Linked DNA regions of Cricetulus griseus. The protein of the gene in region 2 purifies or fractionates together with the protein of the main gene of each other region. This does not show direct contact. Links are inferred from orthologs where the notes say so. Each region holds a gene or a part of one and is shown on either strand. Other genes may lie near its edges.

Region 1 (3,244 bases), on a different chromosome or scaffold from region 2:
GACACAACTCACTGAACCCACCTACAGCTGAATTGTTCAAGGGTCTCATTTCTTCCTGTGGCAGGCCTCCACAGAGGGAGGGCCTCGCTGCAAGCGGGATCAACAGGTGGGATTCTGTGTGGAAAAGTAAGGATGTATTGAAGCCTAGACACCATCATGCCTATTATCCGTCATAGCCATTCTAGGTCAGTGATCAACCCTGTCCTGTCCATACTGCCTCCCACACACTACTGCAGAGGTGACTTCTTACTGTTCATTCTAACTACAAGTATCTTGGTACACATGTGGCAACTAGGTCCAAATGAAATTAGAAGTATTCATGTCTCTCCACTCTCTCAGAAATAATGCAAGCCCCTCAAAAAAAGCAACGGTCCCTTGGTGTTTTGAAAGGACTTCACACAGGTGGGAGCTACAATTTCTCTTCAAGAGTTGACTTGTCAGAACCACAGGGCTCCCTGAAAGGAACCCAGGGCACTAAGATTAGTGGGTTCCCCTGGCTACTAGTTAAATTGGCACAGCACTAACATGTTTAAAGACTGGGAGAGGGGCTTCAGGACTACACAGGATAGCAACTCAAGATGAAGTAGCTTTCAAAGATAAAGACCACTGTGGTTGCCAACTAGGCTATACAACCTCAAGGGTCAAAAGGAGCACAGATGCTGGGACCCTGTTTGAGAACATTTGCCCTTTAATTTTCATTCAAAATCGGTCTCTTTAAATATTTTAGTTACAAGTTCCGAATGGTGAAGATGTAGTAGCAGATGCCGCAGGCACTCAATACTGGCCTCTCCCCCTCCCCCAAGCTTGTCCTGGATTACAAGAAAAAAGGGTATTTAGCACTAATGGCCCTTTGTCAATTGTCAGCAGTCTCAGGCCTCAGTGCAGCTGGATATAAGGCCTAAGAGCTTTCATACCTTGTTACTTGCCTTTTACCATGCTTCAAGAAATTCCAATGATTGTGCCTGTCCCCATAGAGATGACATCATCCATTTCACCACTATGTACTAACTCCTGAGGCTGGTTCCCACCATAGGTTATCCTCCCCTGTATCTGTGTCCTGCCAGAGGCACCAAGACCCCCGCTCCCCACAGGCCACACCCAGGAAGGGAGAGAACAGCCCCTCCCCATCACATGCTGAGGCCATCTCGGACTTAAGAGCTCTTGCTAACCTGATCTGGTCAGAGTCAGTCCCTTTAACAGGCTCTGACCCACTGCCATGATGAGCTAAAGTCTGCTCTAAGTGAAAACAAGCCCTAGAACCCTGGGAAGGGTTGGTATGACCACAGTTATATGTGATTATGCCAAAATGAATCTTCCCAGTGAGCTTACAATGGAGCCTGTGAGGGCAAGTCAGGGTTCTACTCCCATCTGTGACTGGAATAGTAACCATCTTGCCTGTCCCCAAGTCCCCGGCCAGTGCTTCCTGGAAGAGGTAGAGAGGCACCATGAAGCCACGGACAGCTCAGAATGGTGGTGCATTTAAGAAGCAATGCAGGGCCTCTTCGCCTGCATCCAATACCTCCACACAGGTGGCATCACCTGAGAATGTGCACAGCTGGGACAGAAGCTTTGAGCCTGGGAGGCAAAGCACCCCCTGGGCATCTCTGGAGAACACTTTCCAAAGATAGAAATTCAATCACATGGTCCCTGGTGGTACCCCGGTAGTATACTGTTACTGGGGAGAAGAAAATTGTCTTTGCAGAGGGCTGGAAGAAAGACAGGAATATTAATGAGCATCCATTAAGGCTCTCACTCTCTCTCTCAGGCCCAAGGTATCAGAAGGCAAGAGAGTGACACACAGAGAGAGAAAGAGCCTAGAAAGAACACTAAGACCTGGGAAGGCTGGTTACATAGTGCTCTGGCTTCCTTGCTTGAGGCCAACAGTATGTGCCTGCCTGTTATCAGGCTAACCTGGGACTGGTGAGGGGACAGGGAGAAGACTGGTTTTCAGTTCCTGCATGATCAATAGGTAGAGTGTGTGGCTTCCTCCTAAAGGTCTAGGAGGAGGACTCTTGGATCTTCTACCGCTGCCTTGATTTTTCGGAGGAAAGTCACAGCCTCTCTGCCATCAATCAGCCGGTGGTCATAGGTCAGGGCTACATACATCATAGGTCGAACTTCCACCTGTAGAGTGGAGAGGGCAACAGGTTTGTATCCAACAGATCAGAGAAAGCCCTGTCAAGAGGAAGAGGTGAGAAAGCAAAGCCCATACCAGAGTTTCTAGTTCCAAGTCTCTCCTACCAGTGCTGCCTCTGGGTAACTTGGGTTTATTTTGAAGACCAAGCTTATGTTTTGAGCAAAGCTCTGGGACTCAGAAGCAAGGTTTACCTAAGGAAACAGGCTCCTCAAACTGCTTTAAGACAAATAACCACACTCCACCCGTTAAATTGATACCTACTGAAAGGTTTTTTTCTTGCTGTGGCTGCCTATAGGAGCTACTCTAAAGTTACAATCTTTTTGTGTGTTTGTTTTGAGACAGGGTTTCTCTGTGAATCACCCCAGCTGTCCTAGAACTTGATCTGTAGACCAGGCTGGCCTCGAACCCAGAGATCCACCTGCCTCTGCCTCCTGAGTACTGGGATTAAAGGTGTGCGCCCCCACAACCAGGATGAAGTTACAATCGTTATCACTATTATTTTTTTCAATTTTGTGGATCCATCTAACACCAGGCCTTGGGTATGCTAGGCAAGCACTCTACTATTGAGCAACACCCAAGCCTTGAAATTACAATTTAAAGAGGAAAAAAAAGTATGTTGTTTTTCCAACTGGTCTCATGTAGCACAGGCTGTTCTCAAACTCACTGTACAACCAAGGATGATACTACACTCTTGACCCTCTGGCCTCTGCTTCCGAATGCTGTAACTATAGCATGTACTATCATTATCAAACTCAGGGCTCTGAACACGCTGGACAAACACTACCACTGGTTTATATTTCTAGTCGGAGGGAGTGGGGGGGCATTAATCTTTTGAGTTCAAAGCTATCTGCCAGGTGTGGTGGCTGGCGTACACTTTTAACCCCAGCACTCAGGAGATAGAGGCAAGCAGATCTCTCAAGTAAAGGCCAGCCTGGTATACATGGAGAATTCCAGAACAGAAAGGGCTACACAGAGAAAACCTGTTTGAAAATCCATAAATAAAAAAAATACATGTTTTGTGTAAAGCCAGGTGTGCAGCTGTGAAGGCAAGGGTTAAATGGGTCCACCAAACCCAAGATTTCTTTTCTTTTTTTTTTCCCCCCAGAA
Region 2 (4,265 bases):
CGCCTGCCTCTGCCTCCCGAGTGCTGGGATCAAAGGCATGCACCACAACTGCCCAGCTGAAAATAATATGTTCTTAAAGAGTGAAAATTATGAAATCTTTATAGAAAGCATGATAATCTGTCAACATTTTATTAAAGCACATAAAGAATTTGTTTCCTGCTAAACTCAGCCACAAACATAAATGTTAAATATAAAACAAAAGTCTCAAAAAGGTTGACAGAAAAAGCAAACTAACTTGAACCTTGAATCTTGGCACCTGAAGAGACTCAGATAGAGCACTGAAAGAGTACCACCCTTGTGGCACATGTTCCAGAATAAGTAATAGAGAAGATCTAAGAAATGCCAACAAGTAGCTGGGCAGTGGTGGCACACGCCTTTAATCCCAGGGCTTGGGAAGCAGAGGCAGGCAGATCTCTCTGAGTGTGAGGCCAGGCTGGTCTATAAGAGCCAGTTCCAGGACAGCCAGAGCTATTACACAGAGAAACCCTGTCTCAAAACAAACAAACAAACAAAAAAGGAAAGTAAAAAAAAGAAAGAAATGCCAACAGATGTAGACAAGAGAAGGCACAAAGCCTATGCTCTTAAGCCAAAGGATAGTGACAGGAGCAGCAAGATGAAAAATTTAAACAATTTTCCTACTGCAGTCAAACACCAGAGAAAACACCATTTAGAAGGCTGAGGCAAGAGGATAATCATGAGTTCAAGGTGAGCCTTGGTTGTATGTATACTGAAAGTAACCCAGAAGAGTCAGTACAAAGAAAGCAGAGAAATGAAACTAGAATAGCTAAATGAAAGCCTTAAATTTTAGCATACCACTATAAATCCTAACATATCAGAAGACCAACAGGCAGTGGATAAAACAAAATCAAGTATATACTTGTCGACAATATCACTTCAAAGATAGTAACACAGAACCTAAAGTTGAAAACACATTATTTCATGCCAGGTAGAGATGACCCACGCCTTTAATCCCAATACTTGGGAGGCTGAGGCAGGCGGATCTCTGTGAGTTTAAGGACAGCCTGGTCTACAGATAGAGTTCCCGGACAGCCAGGGCTACAGAGAAACTCTGTCTTGAAAAATCCACATATTTCTAAGAATGGCCCTATTATTATTTAATAAAGCAGACAGCAAAGAAAAGGCAATTACCAGAGACTGAGAGGGACAGAAAAATAATGAAAAGGTCAATCTATCAAAAAGATAAGCAAACCTAAATGTGTACGTATGGGGGGGGGCCTCCAAGATTGAACAGTGCCACCAAACCTGGCCACCTAAATTCAATCCCCAGGACACACATGGTGAAAGGAGAAAACCAAGTCTCACAAGTTGTCATATGACACCTACTCAAGCGCTGTCACAGGAGCATGTTGTTCCCCTACATACGAATAAATAAATGTTAACTTTTTAAATAAAAAAGAAAACTGCATAATATGGGATGCAAAGTGACAAAGACTAGAAAAAGAGAAAAGTCAATTACAGTGTCACTCATTCTAATGCCACCTCAAGGGCAGGACTACAAGACCAGGCAAACTAGCAAACGCCAACAGTGTCCTCTGCTCAGTGCCATAGCATGGGATGCACAGACACGATTCGGGCCTGTAAGAGTAATGAAATCCACAGAAAATCTGAAAAAAAAAAAAAGCTTACTTTTGTTTTTAGTTACTTGATTCTGCTTAGAGGTGAAGAAGCTGAATTGCACATTCCAACTGGCTTCGCTATATATAGATAACACCTCCGACTTAGGATCATCCTATCTAAATTGTTCTCATGTACCACGAGGCCTCAATTGAAACTGGTGACACCACTGACTTGGGCCTGCAGAGGTGCTCCTTGAGTGACCTTTTGACGTCAAGGGTCTAAAACTCCACCCTCCAATGACAACGGCGCCATTTTCTGATCCTGCAGAGCGAATCAGGAAGTTGGGTTACGCATGCGCACAACACCTAGCCCTTCCCTTCTCATTACCTTTAACTCCCCTTCTCCACACCTCACCCTGTAGATATTCCTGTGCCCTACCCGCGGGGCTCCTGTCTTAACACTGGCGTCTGCCACGTGAGTACTCTTTCCGAACTTGTCATTTCAGCGACAGGCACACTGCTCGGTGGGTAAAAGGAACATGATCTGCTAACTCAGGCGAGAGAGCACGTAGCGGGCTTCCCAGTCACTCAGCGGATTAAGTCACATCTGTCACACACTCTCGCGAGGAAAGCGGTGCGTGGATGGTGTTTCTAGGGAAACCAGTGTCACCTTGGCCCGTTGCCTGTTCTACCTCATACCGGCAGGTGGGGCTGCCGCAGGCACCAAGGTCAGCGCCGTGACCGGGCGCGGCGACCACAAGGACGGCGGCCTGCTGGGGTCAGAGCACGCAGGACAAAAGAACGCGCGCGGGCCGGAGGAAGCGACCGGACCACGTGACGCGCCGCGACCTTGGGGTTCTCCCGGGCCGCCGAGCCACCGACACCCTAGCCCGCCGCCTCCGAAGCTCCGCCGCCAGAGCCAATAGCGCTCGCCCCGGCGACCCCCGGCGCCCGTCCGTGTTCGCCAATCCCCGCCTGCCAGGCGGACCCTGCCACCCCATTGGCTACGACGCCTGTCCATCAGGCCTCGTCCTCCGCCCACCATCGCCGCCCTCCGTCAGCCCGGCTAGGTCCGGCTCCACACCCGTCACTCAGGTGCCCCGGCTGCAAGGGCGTGTAGGCCTCACCCTCGGCCGCAAGCCTCGGGTGTCAAGCGCCGAACCTCCCAGCACTGGACTGAGCCCGTCCGCCGCGCAAGGTTACCTGTCTCCCGTTCTGCTCCACCCGAGTGAGGCGCCGACACCCCACTCCGGGCTCCAAACTCTCGGCCCCGCCCCGGCGTGTGGCGTCAGCGCGTAGCCCGGCCCCAGAGGAGCGGCCTGCACGAAGGCCTGTAGGCGTGTCATGACGTCACGTTTCAGTCACTCCGGCTTCGCGCCAATGCGGAACTTGGCCACTGGCCGAAGTCGGCCTGTTGCTCACCGCGCTTCCACTGTCATTAGTAGTTAAACATGAGAAGCTTCCAAAGCCTGGCTAAGACTCCAGTAAATTCATGGCGTGTGGTGCACTCCTGTAATTGCGGCGTTTGGCGAGCGGAAGCATGAGCGTGGCGACTTAAAGACCCGCCGGCTTTGTATCTGAAACAAGCTGCACTAAATAATAGTTGGGTTGGTGAAATTTACCACTGCACAAAATAATTTGACTAACAAGATCTACATTTTTGAACACTTGTTTTGCAGCAGTCTTTGTGAAGAGTAGTTAGTCCTATTGTATAACAAGTTACACTTGGGTGTTTCTACCTGCATTCTGACAGGAAGCTCTGCTGGGATGCCCCTGGATGGCCTGGCTCCAGAGCCTGCTATAAACAGGCAGAATGCCACTAATTAACCTGTCACACTCCACTGGCCAAGAAATGCTCCCTGTGGTAATATTTTGTTTATGATCTAACAAAGCTTTTCTGAAGATCAGACTGCAAAGCTAGTCACACTAGTTAGCCATAGAGGCCAGGCAGCAGTGGTGCACACCTTTAATCTGAGCATTGGTGAGACAGGAAGACTGATTTCTGTTAGTTCAAGGCCACCCTGAGCTACACGAAATTGATCCAGTCTAAAAGAGAAACAGAGCTCACACAAAGGTGATCGAAGCACTTGGAGTGGCACACCTTTATAGGATTAAAGCACTCCTAGCACTAAGGAGGTGGAGACAGAAAGGGATATGGCTAGGCGGAGAGAGGAGTATAAGGCTGGAGGAGACAGGAGCTGGGGCAGTCTAGCAGTCTAAGCGGTCAGTCTAAGGCAGTTAGTATTTCAATCTGAGGATTTGTGGAGTCAGGATCGCCTATTTGGTCTGAGGTAGAGGTAAGAACTAGTGGCTGGTGGGGGCTGGAGAGATGATGACTCAGCTGTTAAGAGCAGTAGCTGCTCTTCCAGAGGACCCAGGTTCAATTCTCAGCACCTACACAGGAGCTCACAACTGTAATTCCAGGAGATCTGACACCTTCACACAAATACACATAAAGTAAATTTAAAAGAAAAGAAAGAGCTAGTGGCTGGCTGCTTTGCTTCTCTGATCTTCCCCCAGCCCCAATTTCTGACTCTGAGTTTTTATTAAGAACAATTAGAATTCATGTTACAGCTCCTAGTGTAAAAATGTTCAGCCATGTTTGAAAGTACACACCTATAATCCCAGAACTGGGAAGGCTATGACCAATTGGAGTTCAAGATGGACTACATAGAGGTCTTGTGGGTA

Evidence for each region.
Region 1: the proteins of Ogdh (region 2) and Dlst fractionate together in Homo sapiens (co-fractionation; 3 studies listed by BioGRID). This does not show direct contact. The link is inferred for Cricetulus griseus from reciprocal best matches to the Homo sapiens genes OGDH and DLST.

What each region holds. Positions count from the first base shown.
Region 1 is NC_048598.1:118,638,247-118,641,490, forward strand, and holds the end of Dlst (dihydrolipoyllysine-residue succinyltransferase component of 2-oxoglutarate dehydrogenase complex, mitochondrial), read right to left. Parts: intron 2,125-3,244; coding exon 1,990-2,124; 3' UTR 666-1,989; downstream 1-665. UniProt on the Homo sapiens protein: Dihydrolipoamide succinyltransferase (E2) component of the 2-oxoglutarate dehydrogenase complex. The 2-oxoglutarate dehydrogenase complex catalyzes the overall conversion of 2-oxoglutarate to succinyl-CoA and CO(2).
Region 2 is NW_023276807.1:98,578,508-98,582,772, forward strand, and holds the start of Ogdh (2-oxoglutarate dehydrogenase, mitochondrial), read right to left. Parts: upstream 2,904-4,265; 5' UTR 2,781-2,903; intron 2,107-2,780; exon of another isoform or gene 1,966-2,106; intron 1,838-1,965; exon of another isoform or gene 1,648-1,837; intron 1-1,647. UniProt on the Homo sapiens protein: 2-oxoglutarate dehydrogenase (E1o) component of the 2-oxoglutarate dehydrogenase complex (OGDHC). Participates in the first step, rate limiting for the overall conversion of 2-oxoglutarate to succinyl-CoA and CO(2) catalyzed by the whole OGDHC.